Drosophila melanogaster: one gene and its partners. The protein of the gene in region 2 interacts with the protein of the main gene of each other region in a pairwise test. Each region holds a gene or a part of one and is shown on either strand. Other genes may lie near its edges. The genes, in order: mxt, eIF4E7, eIF4G2 and Thor.

Region 1 (7,031 bases), on a different chromosome or scaffold from region 2:
ATCCATTTGCTGCTTCTTGAAATCATGCATCGACGCAAAACCATTCGGCGGCCTCTCCTTGGACATGTCCCACGAGCCGATGCTGGATGACTTGCGCACGAACACTTGGCCCTTTTCATTCTTGTCCTGCTCCACCCAGCGCTCTGCATGCTTCACCGTCAGCATCGCCTTGTGCGCAACTATATACTCCTCGGCCTTCTGTAGTCGTTCCAGTTGCTGCTCGTCCAGCTGGTCGCGCGGCAGCTTCCCCAAACGCTGCACCGTTCGCTTCCAGTTGTGGAACTCACGGTTTTTAAAGGGCTTCATGGCCATACGGTACTCCTTCCACTGGCGCTGGCGCTCCTCCTTCGTACCAGGCGGTGCATCCTCGAGCGGCGGTGGTGCCTCTGGCTTCTGTATCCATTGGCCATTGACCTGGACAAATGTGCCGCAGCGCTTGGGCTTCTTGGAGGGCTGCGCTTCCCCGTTTGACGGCGAATTGTTGCCATTGCTTGGCGGTGGGGGCGGAGGCATAAGCCTCGTATCTTTGTCACTGTTGCCGCGATGGTTTACCTTGAATTTCTTGTTATTCTGGTTTGGATTGCTGCGATTGTTTTGTGCTCCCTGCTCCTTGGGTACCAGATTCCACAAGCTGGGGCACTTGGGCATGGGCGGTTGGATTGGTGGTGGTCTATGTTGTGGCGACATCATGTCCTCCCAGAACGGAGGCGGCTGCAGAGGTCGGTGATTGTGATTCCGGCGGGGCCCAGAACCACGTGGTCCTCCAAAGCCCACTGGACCACCGGGGCCCATACTGCTCATGGGACCACAGGGACCCATATTGCTTATGGGACCGCGAGGTCCTCCTGGTCCCATTGGCCCCATGGGGGGACCGCATTGTCCGGGTCCAGGCCCAAAATTGCCTCCAAAGCCCATGTTCATCAGCTGCATAGGAAGTGGAGGCGGTCGATTCATCGGAGGATAGTTCCTGTCCTGGTAGCTTTGCGGACCTCCGCCTCCATGAAAGGCATTGTTGCTATTCGAAGACCAATGTTTACGTCCGTTGCCGTTGTTGTTATTGTTGTTGTTGTTACTATTGTTATTGTTGCTCCGTTGTAGTCCGCTTTTGGTATCCGGTTTCAGTGCATCCTTGCATTTCTTCCAATCTGCAAACGACATTTTCAGCGGCTTAGTTTCAGGCTCATCTTTGCCGGACTCCGGAACGACTTCCTTGGAATCCTCTGGTGCCGCCTCCACGTCCCCGTTTTCAGACATCTCGCACCTTAGAGAGTGGGAATACACTTTATAAATATATCAACTTAATTTTATTTGAGTTTTGCTTAGCGATGGCAAACAAAAATTTCAATAACAACAAATTGAAGGAACAGCCGATGTTTTCTATCGATATTTTCGTGCTTAAAATTTTAGGGAGTTTCCCCTGAAGTATTTTCTTAAGAGTCCTGTTGTTCTTAAAAAAGAACAGTAGTTTCCAAATGTATTCTCTAAACTTTCCGCTATACCAGTAAATCTTCATTTGTTAACTAGTAAGCGATATATTAATGCCCAACGTAATATAATATATATTTAACATTTTCGATCCCATGCAGACACAACCGGCGGGGAATAGTAATTGCCCAGCGTCCAGATACCATAGTGAATTGTTGGTTATCAGCGATAAGTGTCTGATTTCGTAACATTTATTTCATATTTAAATTTAAATTTTAATACGAACACATCTGTGATGCGAAATTGATGTGAGCTTTTTGACTGCGCTTTACGTGAACTGGTCTGGATAGCTGTGGCGCATCTCTAAAATCTAACGTGTTCGATCAGGTGGCAACACCCACCGTAAAAAACGATTTTAGTCGCAGTCGCAGAGATTTTGGTTTTGGTAAGCTCTAGTAATTTATTGGAAATTACGATCCAAAATACACCGTTTTAAGAGACGTTTCAATCGGCCATTAAAGTAAATAATAAGCGCGACGAAGACTAAACATCAAAAGTGTTGAAACTAGAACGAGAGTGCAAAGTCGGTCGCCAGCAAAACGCGTAGTTTGCTTATTTTAACGAAAAGCGGCCAGTGCCATTAAAATATTACTCAATTTCACAGAGAATTTTGGCCGAAAACGGATGCAATATATGGATATATAGACCCTGTTTCCTGAAAGTTAACTTCCTTTTTGTTCTACGCCCAACACGGTCGTCAACTGCGCTGCCATCGTCGACGTCGGCAGAGGCCATTCTTGTTGTTGCTATTCTCGACATATGATTCAATAGAGCGATCGCCTCTCTCTTTCTCCCTCCCACGGACAATTTCAGTTTTTTGTAATATTTCTGTTAGCTGTGTTTTAGTTGCCCATGTTTGTTTGTTCTTGTTGTTGTTGCTGCTGCTGCTGTTGCTGCAGCGGCAGTAAGTGATATTTAAAAAAGAAATGAGTTGTTCGCATGGAGCGAAAGTCGAACTGAAATAACACAAATGGTCGTCCGTTTGTCGTTCCCATTCGATATATGCCAACAATTTTCATCAATTATTTACATATTTTGCTTTTGGAACTTCGCACCGATTAACTGAGCAGAAGCCAGAAGCTCAGAAGGCGCCAATGGGTTAATTTGGCCACTAAACTATAGATAAATCGCGGTGTTATCAGCTAAAGCCGCTTATCAAACGTGCACATCGTTAAGATATACGAGAGCTTTGCGTCGCAATATTCGAGATTCGGTCGGAAACGAGGCCAATCTCCATATCCTAAGAAACCTTTTGGTTGTCCATGCTCTCGGCCATTACTCCCAAGTTCTAATGCAATATAGTCGGCTTTGATCATCCTAGCAGCTGAAAGCATGTATCCAAATAGTACAATAGTTTTAATGTAAACAATACATTTGATCGATAACTAACCTTTCTTGTGTTTACAGGGGGAGGTGCGGAAACAGCTTCTACGATTCATTTTTGATCAATTCTTCAACAACATTTAAACGAACGAATAAGTTAGCAGACCATATAGACTGAAATCAGCAGATCCGGACACCAGGCGGGACAACCTTAAGACTTCTTCACGAGACGATATCGAATCCAACGAATCCCGAGAATGGCTCACACACACCTGGGACGCGCCGTGAAAAACATTGAGGCGCCACGCCCGTTGAAGACACAATCGCGATCGTCGTTGAAGAACAGCTACCTGGTGATCGAGGAGCTAATCCAGTTGATAGACAACGTGACCGTCGGTCTTCAGTCGTGCAACACCACGCCGGAATCGATCACGCTGCTCCTGCACAACCTCCGGGTGCATGGACCGCAACTGGAGGCGGTGTCCAAGGATACACTGGACCGGGCCTTCGTCGTTTTCCGCAACGCTTCGCAGGACGAACGGCTGAATATAACGACGCGCCTCAAGCTGCTCGAACTCATCGAGCTGCGCGCCAAGAGCTGGGACAATGACGACACAATCGCGTACTACAAGTCCAAGCAGCAGATCTCCAACGTGGAGGTGAGTAGAGTACATAGAATCGATCTCACTTTGGAAAACGATCAAATATGTATCGTTGCTTTGCAGCTGCCTTCGGAATACCAGTACGATGCCGGCGTGCAGCCTGGCGCCTTCAGCACCTCCCCCACATTCGGCGTCAGCGGCGGTGTTGGTGGCGTTAACGATGGAGCCGCAGCCGCCGCTGCCGCCGTCTTCAATGCAGCATCTGCAGCTGCAGCCGCCCAAGCTGCGGCCATTGCGGCCGTGGGCACATCCAACCAGCAGCACATGCTGCTGCCGCCCGGTGAGGTCATTCGTAATTCGGGCAAGTTCCCCAAACCGACCAAGATTCCTGGCAAGACGTACTGCAAGGACGAGGTCGTGATTCGCAATGCTGACTCCGGCAAAGGTAAGTTTTTCAATCAGCTGAGGAGTGTTCTGGAGCACACAGATCTACAGAAATGGTTTTCAATAATGTATTCCTCCATTCCCGTGGCCAAAAAGTAATGGGCATCAAGGGGCGTCGCGTGCACATGATCGAGGAGCTAAGCGAAACCATTATATCGTTTCAAAGAGGTAACTCCAGAGAGCTGGTTTTAATTGTGATCCTCACCGCACCCCCATTTCATTTGGCACGCTTATTTAAATCAATTAATGCCCGGTGGCTTCTACAAAATTTACTAATAGAAATTATAAATACGCATGTTCCAGATTTTGTCCATTCAACGACACCACATTAAGCCAAAATTGATCGTTAAAGGCATTTTGAAATCACATATTTTCATACTGTATATATGCATTTTGTTTTTAAATGTTTTCGCATCCCAATTATTTTTCATAAATATAAATGCTTTTTTCGAGAACAATTATGAATGCCTTGTTTTCATTAGTCAACCCGGGTGCCAAGGAGCGTTTGGTGCAGATTACTGGTCCAGCTGAGGATAAAATTAAGTGAGTAAAGTAAATAAATTAAAGCTAATTTACCTTTATGTCAAAATGTTTTAATTCTACGACAGCTATGCCAAACAACTTATGGAGGACACCATTCGTCGGAACGCCTCGCCGGTGCGCCTGGAACCCGCTCCTGCCGTTGGAGGATCCTGCTCCTCGCTTAACTCGTCCAACTCGGACGACGCCATTGTGCAACCAAGAACGCCAACCGGAAGCAGTTTGGCCAACCGGCTAAGCTTTAACTCGGCCCAAAACTTCATGACCGCCACAGCTGCTGCACAGCAGATCTCGCAGCAGATGCACCACCAAACGCATCACCTGCAGCACCAACAGCAGCAGCAGGTCGCCGCAGTAGCCGCCGCAGCAGCAGCGGCGGCACATGCTCAGGCGACAGCCGCTGCCGGTAAAGTCTTGCGTCCCAATCAACAGCTGCTAATGCACTCATATTCCACAAACGATGCTTCCGTAGGTGAATACAAGTTCACGGTCAACGTGGGCCAGCACCTGATCAAGATCACCGGCGACTGCTGCGAACTAGTGCGCGTGAGTAATGTTGAAGTTTTCAATTGTGAAATTTGTTAAATCCCCTGCGATTTCAAGGTGGCCAAACTCGTGCTCGATGACTATTTTAGCAGCTCGGAGTTTCTGGCATCCATTGAGGCTGGCGCCGCCTTCGACGGCACTTCGCTGGTGACCACGCCATCGACTCCGCTTCCCGGAGCCGGGCCGCCGCAATTTTGGCTGCCCGGCACGGACAGTGGCATTGGACTGAATTGCGTTGTTTCCTCGTCAGCGAACAACAATGGTGAAGGCGACGACGAGGTGTTCGCTGAGCCCAGCAATGGAGGATCATCGACTAGCAATCAGAATGGACTGGCCAGATCGCGTCGCAGCCACTTTTCGCGCAAGGAGTCCACGCCGGAGACCAAGGGCGCTCGGGAAAAGGGTGACTTGGACGATTTGGCAGGCACCAATTCCTTGAAAAGCAATGCATGTAAGATTACAATCCTTTTATGCTTAACCAAGTCTTTGATGCTTAAACTTAAATTACAGCTCGCGTTTCTTACGATATTGAACACTTGCTCTACTACTCCATGAGTCCGCACTCGTGGACCCTGCCCACCGACTGGCAAAAGATGCAGGAGACAGCGCCCTCGATTCTGCGCAACAAGGTAATTTCGCCGTTCGATGGCTCACTTGGCCGTACGGCTTACTCTTCGAACATCCCCGATGCTATCATCGCCAGTGCACCTAACTCATCAGTAATAACACATCCGTGGGCTTTAAATGCAATAACCTCCTCCCCGAACACAAATATCATCAGCACCGCCGTTGGACTAGCTGCTGTCGATGCGTCGGCAGACAACAATCCCCTAACCGTCACTAACAAGCAATCAAAAGGGATCTTCGCCGAACGCGAGAACCGTCGCCTTCCCAAAACATCGGCCGTGTCCGATCGAAACCTGTATAACAAGCAATTGCAAATCATAACTAATACTGTGGGTCAATCGGTGGCAACACAAGGAAAGCATCGCCAGTCTAGCTATCAAACATCACAAGTGAAGGCAATTTTTCAACGCTACTGCGAGGACGATGAGTTTTCATTGGCACTGTGCGAAACAGAATCGAATAATAACCGCGTTTATGTGTAATTTCATTTAATTTCATTTAATTTAATTTAATTTTACGTAGCCGGAATACGTATTATTGAATCTCAGTCACAGATAGGCTTTTCTTTTCATGTCAGTATTTTTGCTGTTTTAATTTTATATAACTTATCATTAAGAAAAGGTGAAGCGTGAAGAACTTGATAATGAATCAAGTCAATACATCATTATCATTATCATCATCCAGTCATTAGATTAACGACATACCATCGAAACCAAACCGATCGCTAGTCTTAGAGGTAACAATACATATAATGCATTGAAATTAAAATGTAACTATAGGGAGAATCTGTGTTTTGGCTGTGAAACAGATTAAGTCGTCGCTAAGGATAAGCTGGAAAGGCGGTTGAAACCGCTTAACCGCTAACAAACAAACATTCTCGAATTCAAACCAACATTTACAAATCTGTAATCAATACGATTTATATTAACTAATAAACAGGACTTTCAAAGTCCGTAACAAAGCTTGGCTGGGTTTAACTTACACCACCACACACCCCACACATTGTAAATTATAAATTGTAACTTGTGTTTTACCACCGAAGCATCATAACATCACCACCTAACCACCACTCCAGATGGCTAACTTAGTTACTAAACTGTTCCGTATGTATATATGTTCGTTCATCCCTGGATAGCTTGCGTGTCAATGTTACTTTGAAATCAGATATTAAACCATTTCTTTGTTCGACAACAGGATCTGCAGGATGAGAGCCAGCGCTTCGATGGTGATAAGTATCTGGCCAGCATTAAGACGGCCGCCAAGCGAGACATTGTGGCTGCCGATGAGGTCGAGACTCTGGACGAATAAAGCCATCAATCGAGCGGCTCGAACTGACAATATAGAGTGTCCCGGGGTGAAGTGCCTGCTCCCAGACGGAGCTGCAGTATGCTTCAATGCTTTTGGCCATGGCCACATCTAACAATCGCAAACTCAAAACGACCAAAACAAAACAAACAAAAAAAA
Region 2 (6,073 bases):
TCGACGGATAAAGAAAACATTTCGCCACCAGTTTTGAACAGATGTCGAGGCCGCGGTGACTCTGGCTTTTGACGGTATGTTCCGAATCATTCAAAATTCGATATGTCGGCTAGCTACACACGCCTGTTCCGCGTTTTGTTCGTGATAATTTTCATCAAGTTACTCCTCCTTTTGGGACTCCTTTTGGACAGCTACGATGGTGCTGCCCGGCTTCAGAGGCGGTCGAATGTGGATATATTTGATGAACTACTCGTAGATCGGAGGCAAAGTAAGAAAAACTTCCAATTAGGAAAAGCTTTCGCTGGGGTCAGAGTGTATTAAAAGTGTGTCAATATCAGAATGTACATTTAAGGAGCCCACCTACCATTTTAGTGCCTTCTTGGGAGCAGCGATTGGAATGGATCCGCGAGGAAATGCATTCGTTTCCGCTGAAAGAGCTCCTGGCCAGAAAAAACAGACGATTGCCTTCAGTGAAGTGCGGCCCCGATATGATGAACATTGATTTTCATTGATAGCCCTCTGCCAGGCTATTGATGGCAATAGTCCCATCCACAGATCCCAAGTTCGTGGTATGTGTGAAGGCGAGGGATTTTCCAAAAACTGAGGCTTATTATATGCACCGCAAGTGCAAGTGCGTGTAACGCTGTATGCATGTATTTATGGCTTTTAAGCTGTGCCAAAGTTATTTAAATTACTGATATCTGGCTTCTTTGTGGGTTTATCATGTGATTATTTGGGCAAGCAATAAAAGAAAATGCTGTATTTTGGCACAATATTCTTCATGATTCCGTCTATGAGTTGCCTACAACAGCTGTTAAGTTTCCACGGTTGTCTGTTAAGTTGCCTGTCCCTCTGTTGCTCGATCGAGCAGGTCCTGGGAAATCCTTGTCGTTTGCTTCAGTCGGCCACGAACTGTTGGTCGGGTTGGAGGTGGACTCACCGACGCCACAACCGCCCTCTGATTGCCTTTTTGATGCATTGGGATGTTTGTATTTGATGTGTTGCTTTTTTGCGTAATGCAACTGCTAACGACTCTTTAAATATTTTACACGATTTAGCATTTCATAATGATAATACCCGCAATCCGCTTGCGGGGGGCATGCGTTTATGGTTCAATTTCAGTTTATGCATTCTCATAATGCTTGATGATTTCAGAATGCCGTGTTTGCATTTCAACTCCAAATGACTTTTTCAGAGCGATTCATTCGCTGGCAAAATGCAAAAATGCACATAGAATTTAATTTAATTTGCGCACACTCATGCACCATTTATCCACTTCTAATTAATTGCATTGCACAAGAACACAAAACGCAAAACATTTGAATGCGAATGTCTGAACGGACATGAACAAATATACAAATGTGAACAAAAACACGCTCAGAGCTAACTGAACTGAACTGAACAGGGCAAAAAGCGACACAAGATGAAAATATTCATTATTATTTGGCCAAATTGCGAATTAATGATATGAGCAAACAGGCAGGCCATAGTGTTGTTGGCATGCAAATTATGGCAGCGCGCAAAAACAAAAGCAATGCAATTTTTTAATTAAATGCTTTAGCTGTAATCCAGGAGCGCTTAGTGGAGTTCGGATTAGGCCATATACTCGCGAATCCGATCCCAGTGATGGGAAAAAATGCAGAATAGTACCGAAGTGGGACCGGACTTTTGTTACCAAAAGTCATTTTTCAGAGCAAAGTAAGTCTAGAAATATAAATCAGTTTTGGACGACACTTCGTTGTGAGAACAACCGGGTTTTAGTCAAATTTTATTTACAAAACCATTGCGATTTATTTGTTGATATATTTTGATTGACCTAAGCGGTATTCGGATATTCGCAGTGCGTTAGGTAAGTTGTGTAGACCCAATTCGTAGTGATTAATTATGGCATTAGAACTGTTCGTTGGGTTTCTCCTCCTTCGTCATCTTCGTTTACAAATAAGGTAGTGTGTTCCTTGTCGTATGTAGTATGTCTTGTCTGTCGGTCAGCTTAGATTTCATTGGCTGCCGCCGATTACTGGGAATCCCCGAAAGTATGCAAAAAGTTGGGCTAGAGCAATTGAGCGGATTGACGGTAGTGGGGATGGAGCTACCCCTGCTTAACCCCATCACCCGTCTAGTGCAACCGGCATACAAGAATACGAGGAACAAAGTTCAAACTAGCCAAACAAAACAAAACAGAACAGAGCTGAACTAAACTAAACAAAACAAAACAAAACAGAGCTAAACAAAACACACACAACGCAACAGGGAGCTGCTCATGTTTTTTGTTAATTAAAATTGGCATAGCAGCCGAGGGGAAAGGCAAGGACTGGGAACAACATTTTTGCATTTTCATCAGTTTTTCGAGGCAGCTAGCAGTCAGCAGCCGGCATTTGAACATTTCAACATTTCGGCATTTCAGCCAGCGACGATGGCTCACAGGTCATAGGTCACAGAAGGCGAGCACAGATGCCAATGTAGAGTAGTCCACCTTCCTTCAACTTCCTTCCCACTTCCAACGTTCAACTGAATGAGTGCCACTTCCTCGCTGTGTGCATATTTACCTTTAGAACATTTACTTTTTCAACAGACGACAACCGACCCGTTGAGGGCGAGTCCTCGATTTATGTGCTGCCAATAAATTTGCCCAACACTTTGGCCCCGTCTAATGCAATATTTACATCGCATCGGGCCAAATAAAAAATTGCATCGATAGGAACTGAGAAGGGCGAAACTGCTTTGCGGGAACTGAGAGAAATCCAAGGTGCCTTCTATTGTGGCTTTCGACTACTCCCATAAGTAAATTATTCATTGAAATGAATCTAGATCGCCAAAGTACAGTGACATAAAGATTCAAAAGCAGTTCATTACATGCTATAATCTAAACTACTGTCGCGATAAAATTTAGTTGATCTCTGTAATACTTTCGCTAAGTGCACCCGCACGTCTTGTAGTTTCTGTTTCTGTTTTGGCCCTGCTTTTCATTTTGATGTCATTTAAGTTAAAAGAGGAACATTTGGAAATGTCGGGTATGAGATCCCTAAACGGCTTTTAAGAAGGAAAACCTCCTGCAATGTGTTGCCTTTGTTGTTTCCCTAATTTGTATGGCAGAAGTGAAAGGAGATTCCCATATCTGTACAGTTCTTAGCCCATGCCAAGTGATACAAATGTACATATGAAGTCCATGGTTAAGGCACAGATATTCCATTAAAACAAAATCGGGTCAAATAAAATGGCCATAAACTGCTTGCCAAAAGCGTGAAAGCACAACACTCGCTCAAAGTCCAAGTCCGCTCAAACATTTGCCACGCCTTGGATTCTGTTTCTGATTCCAATTTCTGATTGATTTTTTCTCACTCATAAATTCGAGTCCTTTTGACCCCATTTTAACTTATGGCAGCCAGAGTCAAATCAAAGTTTGTTCTCCTGGTGGTTTACTTTTGTGATGCCATTACATAAAGATTCCTTCGTCCGCTGCATATCGTAAATGTAGAGAATTTTTAATGATTTTAAAAGATGCGTAAATACCAAGGCATCGTAATCTTTTCTATCGGAGATTTTGGCGTGTGAAAAACGCTTTTACTCGGTTATTTCCAAGGGGCAAGCACAACTTGACCCAGCTAATAAGAAATGCGTGCTGTGTTACCTTACACCCGTGTGTTTGGGGTTTTGCACCCACTCAAATCATTCAGTTCGGGGGGTGTGTAAATATTTGTTGCTAAAGTTGCCAACTTCTGCACACGTCCCTTGGTCTTGGTCAGTTTTTCCTTTCGTGCTTCCAAAGAAGAAATTTCCAGCTCACGTCTTAGAGAAAAGGGGCATGTTGGCTTGTTTGCCTCATTAGTCGGAAGTTCAGAAAGAGCGTTTGGCTTGGCTTTGTGGATTCATCATATATATAATTGTATAGGAAGCTACGAAAATGAAAGATCCCAAAAATCGCCATTATATTAACCCTTTTTTTTGTTAGATTTGTTTGTTTAAACATAGCGCTAACCTCGCCATTTCCGTATAACTCTACAGCCGTTGCTGACCTCGAACAAAGCCGCCATGCTTCCCAACAGCTTTTACAGGATGAGGGACTTTGCCAATCCGAGAACAATGTTTAAAAGCTGTGCGAACAACAATGAATATCCCACACAAGGTCCCCAAAAAGTGGAGTCACCAACTGATGTTACCCAGCCTGCTGCAGCTCCTCAATCCACTGAAGATACTCAACCAGAAAAGACCCAAGAACCGATGAATGATCCAAACAAAACGTCGCCATCAGAGCCCCAAAAACGTGGCAAGGGGAACCGGAAGGGCAAGAAGAATCAAAAGAATGCGCCACGCACTCCCAGTCAGACGAGCAAGAGCAGTCGAAGCAACAATCCGGGCAAAGATGGAAAGTCGACGGGAAATGATGACAATGAGAAGGGTAAAGGCCAAGGAAAACAGATGGTCCAGCAGAAAGAAAATAGCCCTGAACAGGAGCAGTCGACTAGTGCACAATATAGGAAGAATGTGCTCGACAAGGATCTGCAGGACAAGAAGCTAATCGAAAAGAATATGCAGGGAAAGATAATCACACAAGAAAATCTTTTAGGGCAGAAGGTCCTAATGCGGTTATCCGAGCAGAAGCTTTTGAGCTTGAGGCTCGAGCCCAGGATTAAACAGAACACATGTCCACCGGCCAAAAAAGAAGATGCGGTGGTCGCTTTTGACAATTCACTAGAATTTCTGTCACTGAACAATAAATGTGATGATGATCTGACCATCGCGGCGGAGAACGCCGAACTTTTGGAGGTCGAGGATCCTCAACATCCACTCAACAACTGCTGGACTCTGTGGTATCTAGAGAACGATCGAAATAAAAGTTGGGAAGAAATGCTGCACAAGGTTACAAGCTTCGATACCGTGGAGAAGTTTTGGAGCCTGATCACTCACATCAAGCCCCCATCCGAGCTTATGCTGGGCAGTGACTACTCCCTGTTCAAGAAGGGCATTCGACCCATGTGGGAGGATGAGGCCAATGTCAATGGAGGACGCTGGGTCATCAACTTGACCAAGAGCGCCAAGATGGCTCTGGACAGTTTCTGGATGGACGCCATGCTCTGTCTGATTGGAGAGGCCTGTAAGCACTCGGACGATCTTTGTGGCGTTGTGGTCAATATTCGCGGAAAGTCGAACAAGATCTCTATTTGGAACGCTGACGGGGGAAATCAGACTACAGTCCTTGAAATTGGACGCATTTTACGCAAGGTTCTACGCATGGACAACATATACGTGCTGGAGTATCAGTTGCACAAGGACTCCAAGGATAAACTGGGATCAACTGTGAAGAGAATATACACTGTATAGGTTCTCATCAGACAATTGCGAATCGAAACATTTTCAGTATTTTCGGTATTTTTTCACAAGAACTTGAAATGTCAAGCAGGTGTGATCAGCCATCGATCGATAGTTAGTTGGGTTCCAAATCTCTAGTCAAACCATCCGTACACGTACACGTTGTACATAAAAATTTGAATGTTGCTCCTATAGAGCGACGAAATAAATACATAACTATTTGGTCAAGAAGTTGTTTGTTTTAAAGTGTGAAATTGGAGAGTGTTGGAGAGAGACTGCGAAATGTTTCTAACTATGCACCTTCTTTACTAATTTAACCCGATTCCAAGAACATGCAACATGGTTTGTCTCGATTCCTGAGTTCCAATCGGTGTATTGGATGTTCTTTGTCTGCTCCACTGCTAACCATTGGGGCGGGCATTCAGAAGTTGGTTGCTAGCTTTTTGTTCGCTTTCACATCGGTCAGCGGACATGGGACATTTGGACATTGGACATTGGCCGTTGGACTTATTTGGCGCACGGCGTCACACAACTTGGCCGTGCTCAATTGTTTGATTTATTGGCATTTATTGGCAGTTGGCATTTTATTGTGACTGCTTTGGGTGACCACGTAAGGGGAGCCAATGATGTTGGAGTGGAGGCAGGTGCGTTCTCCTGGCACTGAATTCCTTTTGTTGCTGTTCTTGGCCACTTTTCCATTTGACGGGCTTTAATGTGCTTAATGTATTTTCTGTGCCTTGCTGTGACCATTTTCCTACCTTCTAAT
Region 3 (4,870 bases), on a different chromosome or scaffold from region 2:
TCGGCGTTTGAGCAGCTCCCGGTGCCCCGCCTGGACCTTGTTGTTGAGCAGTGGGAGGAAGCTGTTTCTGTTGTGGAGGAGGTGGCGCAGCCGCATAGAATGAAGCTCCAGCCGCTCCGTTAGTGGGAAAGGTCACAGCTGGCTGCATGCCCATCAGAGGTCCGGTCTGATTAATTGGTATATAGGTGGCGGAAATGTAGGGTCCACCCGCATTTCCGCCGGCAGGTGCGATCAGGCCAGCTGATTGTTGAAAGTGGGGTGGTAGAGTTGGGTTGCTCAGGGCACGAGGCATGTTTGACCCCGGCGCCACGCCATTTGCTCCACCATGGTGACCACCAGTAAGAGGATGTCCCAACGTGTTGGAACTGGCGGCGGCGCTCAGTTGGAGGGTAGCGCCGCCGCCGTTGGCACTGTTGTTAACCGCCGCGGAATGCGCGGCGTAGGACGGCTGGGTATTGTAGAAGATGACCGGCTGGTGGTGCGCCTGGGCCTGGGCTTGCACCTGCTGCTGTTGTTGCTGTTGGATGTGTTGCTGAAGATGAGCGGCGGCGACGGCTGCTTGTTGTTGGTGTTGCTGCTGCTGCTGTTGCAGTAAGTGCTGCTGCTGGTGGTGGTGCAGGCCGCTGTGGTTCGGGACGAACACTGCGTGGGACTGCTGCTGCTCCTGCTGTTGCTGGAGGTGATGGTGGTGCGAGTGCGTCGCCTGGTGATGCTGGGCTTGATGGTTGTGGTTCTGCTGATGTGTCGACTGTGGCCTGGTTCCCTTCCCACCCCCTCCCTGTTGAGGGAACATAGGAGGACCTTCGAAGGATCTGCACACGCATACAATCGCACCGTCACACGCACAGGCACACACGGAGAGTTAGGAAAACCGCGGCCAGAGCAAAACAGATGTACAAATCGTAATGTTAGTAAGATGGAAATGAAAGTGAAAATGGAGTTGGCGATGTGGAAAATGCTTGGCGTATTAGGTTTTCAGTCAAAGCCGTGAGTACATGCGAATGAGAGTTAAATCAAACGTGTGCAAAAGCAACCAAAAATGATCATGCAAATTATGTGTTTACATCTTATGACTAAGGGCTATTTTACAAATGCACTCCCTCTTTTACCCTTTTCTTTATTCTTTAATATTTCAATCAATTGAGCTCTTTAATTGGAATGTGGTGTATGATGTCACTCGCGGGGCGTGTATACATCCAAAATGCTTTCGAAGATGGCTCGACACCTTATCGCGCCGGTTTTATCAATGGACTAGTCACTTGCGCAGCCTAAATACTTGTACATAGGTGACACACGGTAACAAGTGGCGCTATTAGTCAGTACTGGCCTTAAAGCGGAACAAAACAAAGGCAGCCACAAAGAAGCAGCTGCCAGCGAGCGTAGGAGGTGAGCTATGGGCTGCTGTCGTCTTTATGGCTACAACCAGTTTGGCATTCCGTCAGCACTTCCATCGGCACAGTGGAGACCGCAAGAACTAGATCACTTAAAACTGTTTACGATATGATTTCTTTTAGTTATAATACTACCAAACGGAATTTCATTGTTGTTTTGCTAAGCAAGCGTTCAATGCTGATTGATAAGAATATGAAGACAAACATTGGCCAATATTCACTGTGGTGTTCTCTTTGGAGCTCTCTGCTGGCCTAGAAAAACCAACTCCGCTGCAGTTTGCGGCCAAGCACCTTCAAGCCAGAAGAAAACCAGTTTTCCAGCAGACGAAGTACGTGCATGGCTCTTTTCACTCCATGGCGAGGAAAACGAAAACCTGGCTGGCAGATAGGCTCACTTGTTTCATGTTTGTTTGTAAACAAAACCAGTTGGAGTGTGTGGGTGCTGCTCTAAATGGGATCGCGATCGCTTATTGGGAGTGCATTCGTACTGGAGGCAGTGTGTTATAGTAGTAGTAGTGTGTTATTAAACTAATAAACAAACAATTAATGTAAATTGCGTGAAAAAGCAAGCAAATACTAGAATGGGAGTAAGTTGTAAGTCAGATTTCGAAACTTACCGCTTCCTGTGCTTCGATTGGTAGATGTGATGATTATAAGGGTATTCGATTTATCCTATTTCTTAGTTCCTAAGGTAGACCTGCCTTTAAGCCTATCCGGCTTCCCTTGACACCTGGTCAAGCTCTACGCCTCCTCCTGCTGCTGCTTATTTGCTCCTCCGTTCCTTTTTCCTATTTCTCGTGGAAACTCCTCGTCTTTGTGGTTGTTGGCTCTATCCGGAATACTACAATAGCTCAGATATTCCATGTATAAAAATACTCCAATTCACTGTGATGCACATGCACATCTGCATTTGTGCAGACGGACGAGGGGCACGTACACGTACATGCGTACAAATATACAAAATAACGTACGGCTAGTGCTAAAATTTCACGGTAATTTGTTCTGTAATTAAAGGCGTTAGAGGAAGTTAAAACGTATGCTTAAATTTTGCAATTGCGAGGAATCAAAATTACAATATGATGAATATGAACACCAAAGCAGCGCCTGCTACGAATTTATTCCCTCTCCTTGTCCAGCTGAGCAGCCTCAGCCCCGGATTGAGAATGAGAAATGGGCAGCCAAGTGCCAATTCGTAATTTGACACTAATGGCAAGGGGACTTTTTGTAGGTTTTTAACCTTTTTCAGATTTTCAGGTAATACTTTTCCCCGAAAAGGCGAGGCGTTGGTTTATGTTTTTTTACCGTTTTGACTTTTTGCCGTTCGCTCTTTTTTTGCGCTCTCTCTGTCTCTGTCTGGCCGCCAGTACTTACCGTTCTGCTCCTGCTCGCTAGCACGCTCTCTCGCTCGCACTCCACACACAAAACTGAGGAAGGAAACAAAAAAAAATGCAGTTCCACGCGGGGAACACGCCAAAAAGTTGCTCTGGCACTGCGCCTTTACATTAGTGCATCGTCTGCTTCACCTCGTTATGTATACACGGCTCACTATCTGTTACAAACAATTTTGTAATGTAAATAGTCTGCAGAAACACGTCCGTTTCGTTTGATGAAATAAGAGTGACCGTTGCACGTAGGGATGGAACATAACTCGATGGCGGCAGCATCGATGTCTACGCAGCGAATATCGATTGTGAAAGTTCCAGAAATATCCCGCAGGAATATTATACATTTTAGTGCGTCCTCAAACCGGGGTGGAGAACTTGGATTCAAGCTTGGCGCGTAATATTTTGAACGTTCTTCATCATAAGAATAATCATTCTTTCGAAATAGAAAAATAGGCCTTATGCAGGTGTTATAATAACAATTATTATATAATGCGCATTGTGGTGCATGACGCAGAATATCATATAAATTCCACACATATTTCGCTGTTATTATTGTTTATTCTAACTTTACATTTTAATTTGAATGATATATTCATAATTTACGCATTCGTAGGACAGCATATGCGCAGAATCCTGTTTCCATTCCATTCGCAACTTCCGGATTGCCTCCCCTTAATGCTCTTAGACTACCCCTCGTGCAGAAATTGCAGTGTTTACGCGCTTGTAGTAAAAGTTTTGCTCTTTCTGTTTTGCCGGATGCGCAACGCCCTCCACTTCCCACATAATCCTTTACTCTGCGCCCTCACCTCCCTCTAGTATCCGTTTTTCCAATGCTATACCCTTCTCTACTTATTACTCCTTATCTCAGTATACACTATGGCCAAAACTTTAAAGTAAAACGAGTGCAAGAATGAACTCGGAGCCTTATTGCAGCCTAAAAAAATTATATACACATAGAGCCCACAAACAGAGTCTGAAGGGATTATTTGGTGGTTGAAAATGCAAAAAGACTAGACCGCAAATGCAAATATTTTAACTTGGCACAACGAAACCGCATACGGACTGTCCGTATTTTGCATTTTTTTTTTTCCATTTCAGTTGTGAAGTCATTTGCAATGCTTGTTTTCCTGTGCGTACTGTCATGTTTTTGTGGCCTTTGCGGTTGCACTAAAGATAGTGTGAGGACAACAGATGAGTAAATGGACGAGGCTCTTACTTTTTTTCAATAATTTTGCTCTCAGCACAAACATTTTGAATATAACGGTCGCTGAGTGCGCTACCTGAGCGGCAGGTTTTGACAATACAATTCGAAAATGAAATTGCAACACTTTCCGAAATTTGGATCAAAAAGATACGATTTTTAAAGTTTTATTTAAATTTTATACATTTTTCAAAGATAATATCGTCTTACATCTTATTAATTTATTTAAAAGTATACTTATTAATTGAATCCCCCTTAAAAAAAAAGCCTCTGCTTTTTGGTATATTTTGAACCCATAATGATTTAATTTGGTATTTCTTTCAGCACCGCATGGTATCTTTCGGGGACGCGAGTGCAGCCACACCAAAAGCGAATTCCTTTACTCCCGCTGCGGTCACACTAAGTCCGAAGCTTGATTCGCCCTGACGCGCGTAACGCTTTTTTCCCGCATCACTTTCCTCCACTTTGGCGCTGAAAAATTCTGCACAACAAGAAGAGAATGCACCAAACTGAAATTGCAACCGACTGCGACTACTGCACCTGAGCCGGTTACGAAATCAACTCTTATATTACTCATATAATTTTGGCATCCATGTAGAAACGAATAAAAATAGTGCGCGAACTGAAAACCCGTTAAAACGAGAATGGGCATAGCCCAAAATAAAACTTTTTCGTTTCTTTTTTACCGTTTATTTAACACAATCAATTAAAATAAAACCAAACACAAGATTTACTCAAAGTAAATCGCGTATAAGCTCGACTACCATAAATGTTAATGTGAAAATTGTGCAATAATTAGAGAAATTTCTAAAAGAAATTCATAAGTGCGGTATTCGTAAATTGCATTGTTTGCAAATGCAAAAAGCAAATGTTATGCAACTATAAGTTACAAG
Region 4 (3,263 bases), on a different chromosome or scaffold from region 2:
CTACTTTGGGGGTCAGTTGGCACCCAGCTAACTCCCACCCCCATCTAGTGTAATTGATGGATTTGGGTCATGCTTTCCCCAATTCAAATATGCTCCTCGTCACATGGAAATCTACTTTCAAGGTCTGTCAAGCTTCCCCATTTAGCCATCATAAATATTAGCACGCTTAAGTATCGACCTTGTGCAGATTTCTAGGTGGGCGCCATCCCCTGTCCCACATCGAGATCATGATCGCCGCAGATCAACACACGTGGCCACCTTTTGTCAACCCCATATCCCTCGGAATGGCCCGTGGCCAATATCCGAATTACGTCGAATCGTGGGCGCCAACGTAGGCAAAAGTTCCTGTAGCACTATTTACATGCGTCCAACGATTAAATATCGTCAACATCGCCCCCGCATAGCTAAAACCGCTCGTGCCGCTGCTTGGATCCACCCTATGCTTGCTGCGATCAGTGGGGCATATTAGTTTGATTCCAAACAAGATATTCCACCTCAAAGAACTTGGGAACTAATAAGGGTTCGATCACCAAATTTGGTGATATGATATATGTATTTCTTTAGATATGTGCGCTAATATTAAACGGCTAAGAAGTCAATGTGCCAAAGAAAAGATATTAAATATGTATGTTTCATATCAGTCAAGTTAAATTTTGATATGAGCTAAGCGTACTTTTGGATTGTGCACTCCTAAATATAGAAATCACGCTAAAATTGCATATCTAAGTAAATAAAGCAAGTAAGTTATGTAAGACGTGTATCTTTTCGTGATAATTATTTCAAAACGGCTCGTGCCAGATAATAATGAACACTTTCCGCCTGAAAAAAAGTGAAATGCTGGGTATCTTTTAGCCCATAAAAACCTGCAATATCGTTGCTCAAATTGCTATGCTCCGCGAGTTCGCACATGCATAGAAGGCACTCATAGCCTACGTCACGATTGCCGGCGACGTGTCTTTATGCTAATTAATGGTATTTCGCGAAAACGAGTGCAAAATAATGGCCCCATGGAGAGAGCGGCAGTACTTCACGAAATTCTGCGGAACACCTCTTGACTCCCAGACAGCCATAGATAAGATCCCAATTGCACCTGAGTCATCATCATTTCCCTAGCAAGATCGACAATAGACTTGGTTTTTAGAAAAGAATGCGATTGGCGTTTAGTGCTGTTGGCTAACTTGTTTACCAATAATATTGCCGTGCATTAAACAATAACAAATGACCAAAGATAAACAAGAGCTCAAGGCGAGAAGCCCCTCAAGACAGCCCCCCACCATCGCTACACCCCTTATCATCTAGAACCTCCGAGGTGTGCAGGCTGCAACAAAAATAAGAACAATAGGGGAATATATTAGAATACGGCAATAACAACAAGAACCAGCCGGTTTGTCATAAACTACGCAGAAAATACACCAGATAAAAACAAAAAACATCAGCCGACCAAGCAGAATAATCAGGCGAGAGAGCAGGCGAAAGAGCGAGAAGAGAGCGAGAGAGAGTAAGAATGGGGGGGTATAAATAGAGCCACACTTCGTAATACCGCCAGCAATCGCCTAGCGAACAGCCAACGGTGAACACATAGCAGCCACACAAGCTCTATAGCTGATACAAGCAACGAAATACAAACAACGCAGTTTGTGTAAACAATCAAATTGTCGCAGCCATATCGAGTGTGCTTACACGTCCAGCGGAAAGTTTTCGAAACCAATCCAATCAATCAGCTAAGATGTCCGCTTCACCCACCGCCCGTCAAGCCATCACCCAGGCCCTGCCCATGATCACCAGGAAGGTTGTCATCTCGGATCCGATCCAGATGCCCGAGGTGTACTCCTCGACGCCCGGCGGAACCCTCTACTCCACCACTCCTGGAGGTAAGTTTCGAAAATTGGAAGCTGAGACTACATCGAGTATTATTAAGTTCCTTCCGGAAAGTGGAGTGATTTTCTTATCATTAGATATGATATCAAGATGAAATTAATCAACATATTTCGAAAACATAAACAAGTATACCGTTTCTTTCCTTTGCTCAAACAACAAACAAGCTTTTGTTTGAGTTGTGATACATTATTTTTGTAAAACTCACTCACCATTTTTTGGCTGATGAAACTGGGCCATCTCGCCGAGTCAGTCAGTTGGAAGATAATCCCGAGCACATGTTCCACAGTTCGTGACTCAGAGTAGCGCGGCAAAGAAGCGTTTACTCAGCTGGCTTATCAGTGGGGAACTTTGAATACCTTTCTGATGCAACGCAGACCACCTTGACTAATAAAAATTTCCGCTTTCCTATAATTCCAGGCACCAAACTTATCTACGAGCGGGCTTTCATGAAGAATCTCCGTGGCTCCCCATTGAGCCAAACTCCGCCGTCCAACGTGCCCAGTTGCTTGCTGAGGGGAACTCCGCGTACTCCCTTCCGCAAGTGCGTGCCCGTCCCCACGGAACTGATCAAGCAGACCAAGTCGCTGAAGATTGAGGACCAGGAACAGTTCCAACTGGATCTGTAGGGGGTGTGGCGTGTACACCGCCATGCAGCAACTGCCAAATCCAACTAGTTCTTAGATGCACCCACTAAAACCGATCTTATAAGCTTAGTGTACCCATTAACTAGATGCTAAGTTCTTAGTTCTTCCACCTTGTTTGTTCTCTCGGTCATATTGACCCCGTTACCTTGTAAAATCGTAGATCTTAAGTAAAATGCAATAAAAAAAAGGCACACATTATTTAAAAGAGAACCACACCTTCCATTGGGATTCAGTAGCTGCCAATTTACAATTATAAATTTTAATTTATGTTTGAGAAATTCAGTGCCAAATTACTTTCTTTATCGGCAATTCAACCTTGGCAGGCCACGCGTTATGTGATAGAACACTTTCCACTTCACCTTGAGTCAGTTTCGGTTTAGTAGTATTTTCGGCAGTTTGTTGAACTGTTTGAACTGTTTACGAAGAAATTTAGCGAAAGGGGGCTTTTTGGGGGGCGGTACACATGTTAGACAGCTGGAAATACCGGCCGGCTTTTTAGTTAGCCAGTCAGTCAGTGGCCCCAGCAGCGCGTGTCCCACTTATTGCAAAGATATGCATACATATTTATAATGTATCCAAAAACCGGCAAACAAACGCCACAAAAAAATAGATCTTTAAGAAACTGCGCAGTTGGGAAACGACCTCGCCTTTGGCCCCCGCCCCGCCCTTTACCATTTTTCTTATATATACAAAAGTAGTGTGCTGAGCACATGTTCGTTCAGATAGACCGATCCCTTGTGG

The links.
Region 1: the proteins of eIF4E7 (region 2) and mxt interact in a two-hybrid assay, tested with the Drosophila melanogaster proteins (2 studies listed by BioGRID).
Region 3: the proteins of eIF4E7 (region 2) and eIF4G2 interact in a two-hybrid assay, tested with the Drosophila melanogaster proteins (one study listed by BioGRID).
Region 4: the proteins of eIF4E7 (region 2) and Thor interact in a two-hybrid assay, tested with the Drosophila melanogaster proteins (2 studies listed by BioGRID).

The regions. Positions count from the first base shown.
Region 1 is NT_033779.5:4,842,078-4,849,108, reverse strand, and holds mxt (mextli), read left to right. Parts: upstream 1-1,813; 5' UTR 1,814-1,870; exon of another isoform or gene 1,871-1,945; intron 1,946-2,344; exon of another isoform or gene 2,345-2,393; intron 2,394-2,758; exon of another isoform or gene 2,759-2,830; intron 2,831-2,892; 5' UTR 2,893-3,065; coding exon 3,066-3,467; intron 3,468-3,533; coding exon 3,534-3,855; intron 3,856-3,950; coding exon 3,951-4,022; intron 4,023-4,336; coding exon 4,337-4,397; intron 4,398-4,462; coding exon 4,463-4,940; intron 4,941-4,997; coding exon 4,998-5,391; intron 5,392-5,450; coding exon 5,451-6,049; 3' UTR 6,050-6,525; downstream 6,526-7,031. Other genes in the region: CG11927 (uncharacterized protein), read right to left, coding at 1-1,254. UniProt on the Drosophila melanogaster protein: Plays a role in promoting translation.
Region 2 is NC_004354.4:1,158,062-1,164,134, reverse strand, and holds eIF4E7 (eukaryotic translation initiation factor 4E7), read left to right. Parts: upstream 1-1,745; 5' UTR 1,746-1,849; intron 1,850-4,002; 5' UTR 4,003-4,029; coding exon 4,030-5,319; 3' UTR 5,320-5,536; downstream 5,537-6,073.
Region 3 is NT_033777.3:23,816,219-23,821,088, forward strand, and holds the start of eIF4G2 (eukaryotic translation initiation factor 4G2), read right to left. Parts: upstream 3,020-4,870; 5' UTR 2,763-3,019; intron 2,602-2,762; exon of another isoform or gene 2,394-2,601; 5' UTR 2,009-2,393; intron 813-2,008; 5' UTR 794-812; coding exon 1-793.
Region 4 is NT_033779.5:3,476,890-3,480,152, forward strand, and holds Thor (thor), read left to right. Parts: upstream 1-1,544; 5' UTR 1,545-1,726; coding exon 1,727-1,871; intron 1,872-2,295; coding exon 2,296-2,504; 3' UTR 2,505-2,723; downstream 2,724-3,263. UniProt on the Drosophila melanogaster protein: Repressor of translation initiation that regulates eIF4E1 activity by preventing its assembly into the eIF4F complex. Hypophosphorylated form competes with eIF4G1 and strongly binds to eIF4E1, leading to repress translation.